3 linked regions of the Danio rerio genome follow. The protein of the gene in region 1 interacts with the protein of each later gene in a pairwise test. Links are inferred from orthologs where the notes say so. Each region holds a gene or a part of one and is shown in the gene's direction. Other genes may lie near its edges.

What was found. The genes of interacting proteins can lie anywhere in the genome.
Region 2: the proteins of si:dkeyp-20g2.1 (region 1) and sat1b interact in binary tests that used the Homo sapiens proteins (3 or more experiments, as listed by UniProt). The link is inferred for Danio rerio from reciprocal best matches to the Homo sapiens genes CCHCR1 and SAT1.
Region 3: the proteins of si:dkeyp-20g2.1 (region 1) and tsga10 interact in binary tests that used the Homo sapiens proteins (3 or more experiments, as listed by UniProt). The link is inferred for Danio rerio from reciprocal best matches to the Homo sapiens genes CCHCR1 and TSGA10.

What each region holds. Positions count from the first base shown.
Region 1 is NC_133180.1:24,140,721-24,144,373, reverse strand, and holds part of si:dkeyp-20g2.1 (coiled-coil alpha-helical rod protein 1), read left to right. Parts: coding exon 1-158; intron 159-468; coding exon 469-567; intron 568-648; coding exon 649-800; intron 801-3,653. UniProt on the Homo sapiens protein: May be a regulator of keratinocyte proliferation or differentiation.
Region 2 is NC_133199.1:25,853,293-25,857,732, forward strand, and holds the start of sat1b (diamine acetyltransferase 1b), read left to right. Parts: upstream 1-1,547; 5' UTR 1,548-1,724; coding exon 1,725-1,790; intron 1,791-2,067; coding exon 2,068-2,119; intron 2,120-2,196; coding exon 2,197-2,280; intron 2,281-4,440. Other genes in the region: acot9.1 (acyl-coenzyme A thioesterase 9, mitochondrial), read right to left, coding at 709-797, 986-999. UniProt on the Homo sapiens protein: Enzyme which catalyzes the acetylation of polyamines. Substrate specificity: norspermidine = spermidine >> spermine > N(1)-acetylspermine. This highly regulated enzyme allows a fine attenuation of the intracellular concentration of polyamines.
Region 3 is NC_133176.1:52,964,936-52,969,216, forward strand, and holds the start of tsga10 (testis-specific gene 10 protein), read left to right. Parts: upstream 1-1,388; coding exon 1,389-1,469; intron 1,470-1,835; coding exon 1,836-1,991; intron 1,992-4,281. UniProt on the Homo sapiens protein: Plays a role in spermatogenesis. When overexpressed, prevents nuclear localization of HIF1A.

The sequences.
Region 1 (3,653 bases):
TCTGAGCCACCTAAGGGAAGCTCTGTCACACAGCAGGGAGGAGCTGGAGGCATCAGAATCAAGCCGAATGGAGACACTGAGGCACTGTGAAGAACAAGAGGGGACCATCGCGGAGCTCCGCACTGAGGCCCAGAGACTCCAGCAGCAGTGTGACTCAGGTGTGTGTGAAGAACAGCTTCCCCTCCCCCCCGCTGAAAGCATTTGGTATTCACTTCACAGATTCCTTCTTTCTTTCATTCTCATTGCTAATAGTCTATTAACACTGTGTTTAACACTTGGGGAATTCTGCTGACTTCAATTGCTCGTGGCTGCAGGCTAATCATGCAACTCTGCTTGCAATCGCTCGTGTTCTCTGGTGAAGAATCGTTTGTGCTTTTGTGTATCCGTCTAATATTTGCTCAGGTTTGGCTGTAGAGTACAGATGCTTATATTTAAGGATGCGAAAGCTGATTGTGCCTGTTTCTGCAGTTTTACAAAGGGTATCAGAAGTTGAAAGTGTGTGTGCAGAGAAGCTCAGGGACGTGGAGGCTCAACTCAACACGGCGAGGAGAGAGCACACCAAAGCAGGTATACAGACTTAACATGCTAATGCTGATGTCATGGCTAGTTTTTGTGAATGATGTTCTGAATATGTGTGTGTGCGTGCAGTGGTAGCTTTGAGGCAAGTTCAGAGGCAGGTGGAGAGAGAGAAAGAACAGATGAAAGAAGCCGAGAGAGAGAGAACAGAACACACACACAGACAGATCACACATCTGCAGAAACAGCTGAAAGACAAGGACAAAGACTGCAACCTTCTCCTGGTGAGTCACACTCGCACACACACAAGCCCACACACTCTTTTTGAGGGGGCATCAGCGGCAGTCCTGGCTCACTTGGTGCCCTGGGTGAGGTAGGACCTAAAAAAAAAAACTAGAAACGTATGGAAGGAATAAAGGACAAAGAAAGACTGCATTCCACTGGATTTTTAAATCTTTGATTATGATTATTTAAATGAATTTGTAGATGTTTTTAAATTAAAGTCATCATGAAATCAAGAAGATCAACATATTTGCACATATGTGAGATTACTGTGAAATAAAACCTAGCTGCAAATTTCAAAGCTCTGTGTTCAGTTAGATTTCTTAAGGAATTAATTTAGATGTGCTATAGAATGCATTGATTCAATGTTAACTCATTCTCTAATGCTTAGGTTAGTTAATGAATTCTTCAGAAATTATTTTATATGTTCATTTATAAACAGAAATTCCACCTATCAGAAGCGCGTGTTTGACCATATTTGGAACTGTTGTGTATAATAATGAGTTGTGCTCTGATTCTTTCACAGCACATCAATGACTACGTTTACCTGGACATCAATAATCAAATTATTTGCCTTAATCTAATTAAGACAATAATGAGATTAAGGCGTTTATATGAGTTGCTTTTTAAAAGTTTCCTTCATGATCCCGTTTTACATGTTAAAGCACATAATTCGATTAACGTCATTGTGTCACAGCGAAATTCACATTTCCTCCGGATTTTCATGTAATTTCGTGTGTTTCATTTTATATTTGTCGACTTTAACTGCAGTTTGGCACTTTCATTTTCATTTAGGAACATTTCATGCATGCCCCCTGTGACAAACGAGATATTAGATGCTACTATGACCTGCTGGACAAGTGTAGTTTTAATGGAAGTTCATATCGCACACTGAAAGGAGGTAAAAAGCCTACAACATTTCACGACGCAGGTGTCTGTGGTCTGCTCTGACTCGGTAGGTGCAGAGAGTGTCAAACAGATGTGTGTATGTGGACTATCCTATTGCAAAACGCGTCAAAAAGTTCTACATCAAGTTAATAGTTCGATTAAGGTGTTTACATGTGTGTTCAATAATGCGACAAATCGGCATACTCCAAATGTCTTAATTAGATTTTTCTTTAGTTCGATTATGAACTTAATCTGATTAAATTAATCAAAAATCGCTGTTTACATGGTCGACTCTTAATCAGAGTATTGTCTTAATCGCATTAAAATCGAATTTCTGGTGTCCTTGTAAACATACTCACTGTCTGCTCTATCTTTCTCTATAGCCCCTTTCACACATACAGACCTTTCCGGAAAATTACAGGCAATTTTTCGGAAAGGTCTTAATGTGTGAATAGGCCCTTTTTGAAAAAATGGTAAATTTGTTCCGGCAATTGTAGTGGTTTCTGGTTTTTCTCTTACTAAATCAAACTCAGTCTGGAGGTTATGAATATCAGAAGAATATACTTTATTGTCAATAATAAAGTATATATATTGTCTATAATTTGAATATATAGATTAACTTCACACTTTAAAGAGTATAAAATCCACTTCACAATTTCCTGAAAAGAGAAGTTGTAACATTACCAGTAATTTGCCGGAATGCAGCTCTGTGTGAATGCAGAATTAAAATTGCCGGAAAGAGCGTGTGCACAATTAGAACGCACCTATGTGAAATGTCTTCTCCAGCCAATTAGAACAGTCAGACACACATCTGCGCTGTTTGTGAAAATAAAAGCTTTTGAATATTTTCTCGACACATTTAGCTGCTAGCTGTTAGTCGGATAACATTTCTAAGTTTCTTCTTGATGTCAACTGTGTAAAAAAATATCGATTAAATGCTTATAATAGCAGCCGGTGAGCGCCAGCACACACACACATATTATGTACATCTCCACATGGAAAAGTGTTCCTCCATATGTTTTTATTGAAGCTGTTCCCAATACTTATCCATCAATAGGATTTGTAATGTCTTCAAATATGTAAACATTTAGCTGTACTTTGTGTTTCTGCCTTTTGGATGTCTCAGGAAATAAAAAAATATTTATTAAAAAGTTTTAAAGTGAAATCAACAAAAGCCCGACCCCTTCTATGTTTACAAATACAAGTGCAGCCATTCAGAGGTCATTTCTGGTTGATGATGTCAGAATTTGCCGGTATTTTAGAATGGATGTATGAATGGTCTTTTCCGGAAAAATTCTCCTTACATCCTTATCCTTAACAGCGCTTTATTGAATTTACCGGTAAAGTCGTTTTTCGGATATTTATCGGTATTGCTATGTGAAAGGGCCATTTATATCTCTCTCACTCACACATATGCACGCACTCACATAATAATACTTAATTTGTCAAAAACCTTTAAGCAAATTGAGTAGAAAGCTTGTTAAATAGTTTTCAAGTGAAGTGGGTGTAGAGGTTTATTTTAGCTTAGAGGATTGAGTGAGCTATCTTTACCTAGAAAACTCCCCCTGAGTTGTTTTGTGGATGAAGGATAGTATAAGTTATTAGTATTCTTGACAAAATGGACAGGGATGTGTTTACAGTTATTTACAGTTAGCATTAAAGTATTTGAAAATACTTTTTATATTTATATCACATTTATATCAATCCTTTCTGAGAACGTTTTATTTTTAAATGAGGAGAAAAAATCGTATTACATTTAGGCCACAAGACTTGTCGGACTGTAAACGCCCTAGGTGCAGCAACTTGGAGGAGTTTACATCACCCCAGGTACATAACCTTGGCGTTGTATTAGAACTTAAAATTTAATACACATTTTTCAAGTGTGGTTGGAAATAGCTTTTACCAACTTCACCTTCCTTTAAAACTGAAGTACTCCCTCACTTCACATTCTTTAGAAATTGCCATAA
Region 2 (4,440 bases), on another chromosome or scaffold:
ATCCAGCATATGTTTTACACAACAGATGCCCTTCCAGTTCTAACTCAGTACTGGAAAACACCCATACACACACATTTACACACATACACTACGGCCAATTTAGTTTATCCAATTCACCTTCACCTACATGCCTTTGGGGTGCAAGAGTATGGATGTTTCCCAGTGTTTGGTTGCAGCTAGAAGGGCATCTGAATGAATGAATGAACATTTTACTCTAGCCCACAATAATTCTAAAGAAACTTTTTCAATAGCTGTGTATTAATGCATGTATATGTATTTATATATGCGTATGTGTAAAACTTGTTCAGGCAACGCAGTGGCGCAGTAGGTAGTGCTGTCGCCTCACAGCAAGCAAGCTTGCTGGTTCGAGCCTCGGCTGGGTCAGTTGGCGTTTCTGTGTGGAGTTTGCATGTTCTCCCTGCGTTCGCATGGGTTTCCTCCGGGTGCTCCGATTTCCCCCACAGTCCACAGATATGCGGTACAGGTGAATTGGGTAGGCTAAATTGTCTGTAGTGTATGAGTGTGAATGAGTGTGTGTGGATGTTTCCCAAAGATGGGTTGCGGCTGGAAGGGCATCCGCTGCGTAAAAACATGCTGCATAAGTTGGTGGTTCATTCCACTGTGGCGACCTCAGATCAATAAAGGGACTAAGCCGAAAAGAAAATGAATGAATGAATGACTTATTCATTTTTATATATATAAAAATACCATCTGCCATATCAGGTGCTTTCCCTTGTCTACACATTTGCCCCATAGAAAATCCTCTACACATCAGGGACGATGCAGACTTCAGGACCCTATAAAGAATAAAAAACGTGTAAATTCGTGTCTATGGGGACATTACAAAACTACTGATAGCCACGTAATAAAATTACAATAAAAAGATGAACAAAATGAGACAGAACTAGTCTGTAACTCTTCATTCATGACTCACAAATGATGTACACAACAAAAGCGGGACGCAAGACATAATTGTGAAACTCACCGCGGAGAAAGCATCTTCCTTGTTCTTGGCTCACCACTTTATTGTATAATAACACGGATTTTTGCTGATATAAACAACCGCACGCTTCTAGCAGAGATGTCAGCCTTCTGGGCAGTGATTCGCATTTCCTGAAACGTATAGTGGTGGGTGCGGCTTAACTACCGCATTAACCATAACAAAAGCGCATCTTTAAGGAATTTTCCTTCACTTAACGGTTCAACCTTTACCGTAAATACGACATAGTTTTGAATGTTTTCAGTGTGATAAGCGGGACATATAAAGTTTTGAGAAACGCTCTTCAAACAACGTTTGACATGAACTTTAATCTTTTCTGCATCATTATGAAGGAAATGTCGTTCAAACTAACGTATATTCACCAAGAGCAACAACATTCCTACAGTATTTTGATCTTACTTATACATATTCATCAACAAGGGCTGTGCGTCATGACGAACCTCAAATGGACACCTCCTATTGGTTCGCGAAAGGAAAAAAACGTTATTATGGTGATTAAACCCCTCCCCGCCGGCAAATATATGCTCGACATTGATAAACAAAGGACATTTACTGAAGCCAGGTGAAATCCGCCGGGTCAGTTGCTGCATGCGAGTCCCACACAGGAGAAGCCCAAACTTGACAGCGCAGGGTAAAACCCGGGACAGCGAATGAAGAAACACCTTTTGCTTCACTTCACATATAGAGGACTAGTGAGAAAAGGGAAAAAGAGTAAAAGAAGAAAATGGCCAATTTTAATTTGCGTAAAGCGGAGCCCAAAGACGTGCCTGACATATTGCGACTCATAAAGGTAGAATTGTACAATTTATATATATATATATTCGGACTACAGAATATTCTGTCGAAACTTCTTTAACAAGTGCATAAATATTCCCGTTTTGATGTCCTCTCCTAAGTACTAATTTAAAAAGTTATTGTCACACTTATTTTGATTTATTATGTTCAAATGGTTACAAAATATCCAAATATGCCCTTCTATGACAACAACCCCTATAGGCCAACCGCCTACAGGACTTGGTGTTCGTCCAACTGTTCTGAAAGCATCTTTTCTTTACTAACTTCTGCAGGAACTCGCGAAGTATGAAGAAATGGAAGACCAAGTTCTTATAACTGAGAAAGGTGAGGTCCGTCAACGTGTCTGATGTGAGATCTGATCAATATTTTGCCCACAGTTACAACAATAGTTTTGTGTTTAGATCTGCTCGAGGACGGTTTCGGAGAGCACCCGTTTTACCACTGTGTGGTCGCAGACGTGTCAGCCGAGCATCAGAAAGTCGAAGGTAAAACACTGACTTTAACCTGTTGAATATCCAAATAGTTCGTTTTTTGGGGGGTTCACTAGAAGAAGTTTGTTATATATAACTTATATTTTAGCTAAATGTTTTAAAATACGTATTTTACTAAAATACTTATTTTTACTTACAGTACTTTAAAAAATTTGTATGCATGTGAATGTCTTTTTTTTTTTTGCCAAAATAATTAATAAAAACTGTAATCCACTAGCTTAAAGTGGTAGTTAACCCAAAACAGAAAGGTCTGTCATTATTTACTCACCTTTCACTTGTAAAAAAAAAAATATTTACAAACAAATAAAAAAATAAATACATTTGAATAACCTGGCTTTAAGGGATAGTTCACCCAAAACATAAACTTGTCAATATTTACTAACCCTTGTTAAAAACTTGTTTCAGTTTCTTTCTGCTGAACACAAAAGGTGAAACAACCAGAAAAGCTGTAACCATTGACCTCCATAGTATTTGTTTGTTCTACAATATAAGTCAGACGGTTACCAGTTTCCAGCTTTCTTTAAAATGTCTTTTTAACTTAGCAGGAGAAAAAAAGTGTATGCAACTTGGTGTGTAAATTTAAATGTTTGGTTACACAATCCCTTTAATAGGACTACCAAATATAATACGTGTCAGATGCACATTAACCCATGTGTGCTGTTGGGGATGTTTTCATTCACTCTGGGGTGATTTTGAGTCTTAATTTAGCCACAATTTTCTCTGCGTTTCAGCAAATGGAATGATTTTTGGTGACATCTTATTTAGACACATATTTTGGGAAAATGCTTTAAAATATTTTCAAAAATTCAATAATACACTCTGGCCAAATGTACTACCCTTTTGTTATGTTCTTGGCTGTTTTTGCCGAATTGACTCTCATTATAAGTACATTTTGTAATCATGCTTTTTGATTGTTGGTGGTTTTCCCTGTTGGAAAGAGGTAAATGTACAAATTTTTACTGTTGATCATCAGTTGCAGAGCAAAAAAAACTTATTTTCTGGACAAAAGTTATATCGTTGTATGAAGTATAGTGTGTGTGTGTGTGTGTGTGTGTGTGTGAAAGAGACCTTTGCGCACTTACCTTTATGTTTGAGAAAATACAAAAATAAGCAGCTGAGTTCTCAGAACATATACTAGTACTTATATCAAGTGTATTTATGCACGCACACTATAATCTGCTGTTTTCCTCCATAGAAAAGTCAGAAACTTTTTTGCACAGGTCTATCTAAAGAGTTTATGCTTTTAACTGATGATCAACAGTAAAAATATAAAGATTTATCTCATCCAAACAGGGGAAAACACCAACGATCAAGAATGCACGATTATTTGGTGCCATGGCTTTGCAATAAAAAAATGTCGTTATAATGGAAGTCAGTGGAGCAAAAACAGCCACCAACATAACCAAAGGGTAGTCAATTTGAACAGTACACAAGTGTAATTACACTTAATATGTGTAGTTTTAGAACTTTTCTCTTATTTAAAAAAACGCACTTTACACCTGAAACATCCGTGTTGTTTTCTGCAAGTCCAAATTAATCAAATGACACAACTTTTTAAATAATAAAACTTCAGTCACATTGTTCTGCATTTTAAACATATTGGATAAATATTTGTCACACTTTATTTTGCAGTGTAACTATACATTTAAAGTCCCCAAGAAATCAAAACTAATCATAGGATTTTGTTAGCTCACATTGCCAGTTTTGTGGTGAACAATTTATCTGTGCATGTCATTAAGAAAAAAATGTTTGCCCTTCTGATCTTTAATGAAAATCTGAAAATGCACTTCCTGTTTGTTTACAGTTAAATTATCATATTACATTACTTAGAGGTAATGGGCGTGGCTAACATATTTAATCAGGCTGGTTCAACTGTCAGTTTTGACAACAAACAAATGGTGAGGAGGAGTCTGTTAAGTTGTAATAACTCTTCTAAAAACCCTTTACTACATCCATTTAGCCTGCGATAAAAACAAAACAAAACAAGCAATGCCCACTGTTTGCTCATTTAAAATTCGGTTTCTCTAGGAACTGTGTCACAATACTTAAAATAATGATCACAGCTTCCGGTATATTGGGACTAAGTACCAAGTAATATTAATTAACTAATCAATGTACTTTCTAGATGGTTAGCGTTAGGTATAGTGTTTTCAT
Region 3 (4,281 bases), on another chromosome or scaffold:
ATTATATTGTATATAATCAGGCATATTATTTATGATTTTTTAATCTCAAATTTACAGTATAAACGAGTCTTCATAGTCCATAGGATAAAATAATATGTTAGCTATAATAAAGGATAGGCAGTATCCCTGATACGTCTATTTCAGATACGTATTTCAAATACAAAATAGTATTTTGAAATTTGAAAAAGGTCGCTGGTTCGAGCCTCAGCTGGGTCAGTTGGCATTTCTCTGTGGAGTTTGCATGTTCTCCCTGTGTTGGATGGACCTTCACAAGTCCAAAGACATGTAAATTGGGTATGCTAAAATTGACCGTAGTGTTATGTGTGTGAATGAGTGTGTATGGATGTTTCCCCAGTGATGAGTTGCAGCTGGAAGGGCATCCGCTGTGTAAAACATATGATGGATAAATTGGCGGTTCATTTCGCTGTGGCGACCGCAGATTGGTGAAGGGACTATGCCGAAAAGAAAATGAATGAATGAATATTTTGTAATTTGTATTTGATAGAGATATAAGACGCAATGAAGAGATCAACTATATTCTAACTTATTATCTACATTGCATGGTTTTTACATAAAGAGATCATCTTTAAGACAGGACAAAATTTATGCTAAAATGAAAGAGAAAGTTTGTTTAATGGTGAAGGGATTGATCAAATATGCCCGTTGATGGAAGGTTTGTGAAGAAATGTCATGCTCCCTTGTAAAAGTATTTTTTATTTTCAAAATACAAAGATACAGTATTTTATTTTGATACATTTGTTGCTGCTGTATTTTGTTGTTTATTTTGATACTTGTAAAACTGAGGTATTTTATTTTAAAATACATTTCAATGTATTTTTGCCTATCCCTGGCTATAATAATATACAGGAAGATATATATTAAAAGTGTATGCCAATTCTTTCACTGTACATAGTGTAAATCTACAGCTAAAGTTTTCTATATTTACATAGCTAAGCATTTTTAATATCTTGTAGTTTGTTCAAATTTTCTATAGTTATATTTTCTATAGCTAAAGCCTGTCTGTATTTAATTTTTTCTTTTATTTCAGAATTTATTTCTTGTTTATAATCTAGTTCATGGGCAGTTGTATAAGCATTTCACTGCATGTGCATGACTGTATGTGAAAAATAAAATATGAATTTGAAAATTTCAAGTTGTAGTAACATTTTTGATCCAACAGGGGGCAGCAGAAACCGTCAAAACTGGGTCAGAGAGCCTGTGGTGATAACCCTGGTAGCTGTTGCTTTATGCTATAAACGCTAGGTTAATCTTTTAAAGTAGGTGTCTCATATGTATCTGTAATTTTCTTTACATCTGTATGTATGGATGTATTTTTATTCATTCCATGTCTGTTTCACAATATTCTGATTTAGGAGGAACTGTAAGAGATGTTGAGGCCTCGTCGCTCCACCAGCCCTGTCAAAGGGGCATCGACTCACCGCAGTCCTGTCAGACACTCACCTGTTAAAGTACTATGAACAGAAATTTTTAAAACTTAATTTGCAAAAAAATAAATATTTGTTTTCTTGATATATTTTTCTGAATTGTGGAGTGATTAAAATATTTCCACCAATATGTTAAAATAAAAAAAATTAAAAAAAAATAAACATGAATTCTGACTTGACTTCAGATTTGTGTTCCAGAAATGTATGTATTTAAACATTTTAAACACTTGTAATACAAAAAAGATGTTTGCAATTCTGAATGTAATATATCAACTAGGGAAATAGGACGTTAGCTATTCGTTTTTATAATCCTATTCTCCTGCAGTGCCTTGTCTTAATACTAACTCCTTTATTCTTTTAATGCTGAGTCGACTTTCTGTTTTATTTAAGGGCGGCTCATTTGATTCAGAGCTGATGAGGGTGTTACGAGAAAGAGATGAGCTGCAGAACATGCTGGACAAACATGAGCGGCATCTCTCAGAGACCCAGGCCAATGTTAAAGTGCTCACAGCTGAACGTGACAAGACCCGAATGCACTACCAGCAGGTAGATTAACTATTATTATTATTGTAAAAATTATTATTATTAATCAAATTAAATTAAATGTATGTGTAAATTTAGGATTTGAAACACACACAAACATTATAAAACAGAGCAAAAAGTTCACATACTTGACACTGACACTGAGGTACTGAATATGAATTGAAATAGTATCAGATGTCCAGTTCGATTTTGATTTGCAAATATTAAATCTGATTTGATTCTCTAAAAGGAATGAAAGAATGTTTATTTAATGTTTTATACTATTTTGGTATCACTTTATTTTGATCCATTGGTTACATTTGGTTATATTGCATCTACATGGCAACTAATTCTCATTAGATTATAAGTAGACTATTAGGTTGGGGTTCGGTTTAGGGTTAGGGTTATTGTAAGTTGATATGTACTTGCAAAGTTATATATAGTCAGTTAAACGTCAGTATTAACAGATTTTAGCAGACAGTCAAATGAGAAGTAATTGGCATGTAGTTGCAATGCAACTTTTAGTCATGCACAAATTGCAAATAGGGACCATCAAAATAAAGTCTTACTGAATATGAACTTAATATTTTATACTATTATGTACTACAATCACAATTAAATCTATAAAACTATATATTTCACATATATTTATTACATATCAGGGTTTAACACTAAGGATTTTTCCTACTGGCCCGTTTGGACCAGTGGCTCAGATTTTTACTTGCCCTGTCAAAATTTTTACGGGCCACACCAAAACAACAACAAAAAAAAAAGGTAATTGCTTTTTCTTAGCCACATATATTAAAAATGTGTCACAAAATATTGTCTGTTAATCTAGAATTTAAATATTTTAAAAATGTTAAAATATTTAGCAGTAAAATATAGTGTGGAAAATGTGCAGGTATTTTATTGCAAAACAAAAGGTGGCTGACTTAAAAGTGACGGCAAATCGTAAGTAAAACATCACTTCATTTTTTTCATCATGTTGTACCCATCTAAATGTTTCCACAACGTTAAAAGCTGACGTTTTCTTTTAGCTTCATAATTTGATATTGTGATTATGTTGCTGTCTATTAAAATTTAGTGACGAGGCAGCACTGCACCAATCGGGCCAGTAACGATTCCATCTACTGTCCCGAGGACCTCTTACGCTGGCCCTGGGCCATCGGGCAGTCCTTATTGATGAGCCCTGCATATTAAATTGCATTTCTGTCAATTAATTATAGTAATACCACCCCCTCTATATTTTGTCTACAAAGAGTTGCAAAAAATGCCAAAACATTCATTCATTTTCTTTTCGGCTTAGTCCCTTTATTAATCTGGGGTTGCTACAGCAGAACGAACCACCAACTTATCCAGCATATGTTTTACGCAGCGGATGCCCTTTCATCCTACGGTCAATGTTAGCATACCCAAAAATGCTAAAACATAATAAAAAAAGAATCATTCTTCTTCGGTTTCTGTGTTTAAGTTCAGTGTTTTCACTTTTATGGCAAATAATTGGTTCCCTTACTGTGAAATAACTGAAAATAAAAATAGGAGGCTGAGAAAAAGGCTCTTATTAGATAACAATTTCTTGAAAGTCTCATTTTGTTTAGTTTGGCTGGAATAAAATTAAATTTTTATTAAAAACTATTTTAGAGTTAAAGTAATTAACCTAGTTATGCACTTTACACTAGTATCTTGGAAAATAAGTCATGTCATCATGACAAAGACTAATGAAACCATGTATTCATTCATTTTCCTTCAGCTTAATCCTTTTATAGCACCATTTTTTACGCCACCATTTTTGGTCTGAAAGGTTCCTTAACCATTTACTTGCAAAATATCACATCTATAATTGCAAATTCTCCAATAATAAAGGTATTTTTATGGTATCCATAAAATAATTGCAACAATATTTTGAAACACTCTCTGGTTCAGGTAACACTAGCCTTGGAAAACATGATCTTGTCATCCCCTATTTAAAAATCCCCTGTTACATCAGTACCTCATTTTGAATTGCTTACACTCTTTGTATCTTATTTGTATTTTGTGCTTTATTTTAGATACACTCAATGGCCACTTTATAAGGTACACCTTACTAGTACTCGGTTGGACCCCCTTTAAATCCTTTGTGGTATAGATTCAACAAGGTATTGGAAATATTCCTCAGAGATTTTGGTCCATATTGACATGATAGCATTATACAGTTGCTGCAGATTGAATTTCCCATTCTATCACCCAAAGGTGCTCTGTTGCATTGAGTTCTGGTGACTGTGGAGACCGTTTGAATACAGTAAACTCATTGTCATGTTCAAGAAACCAGTCTGAG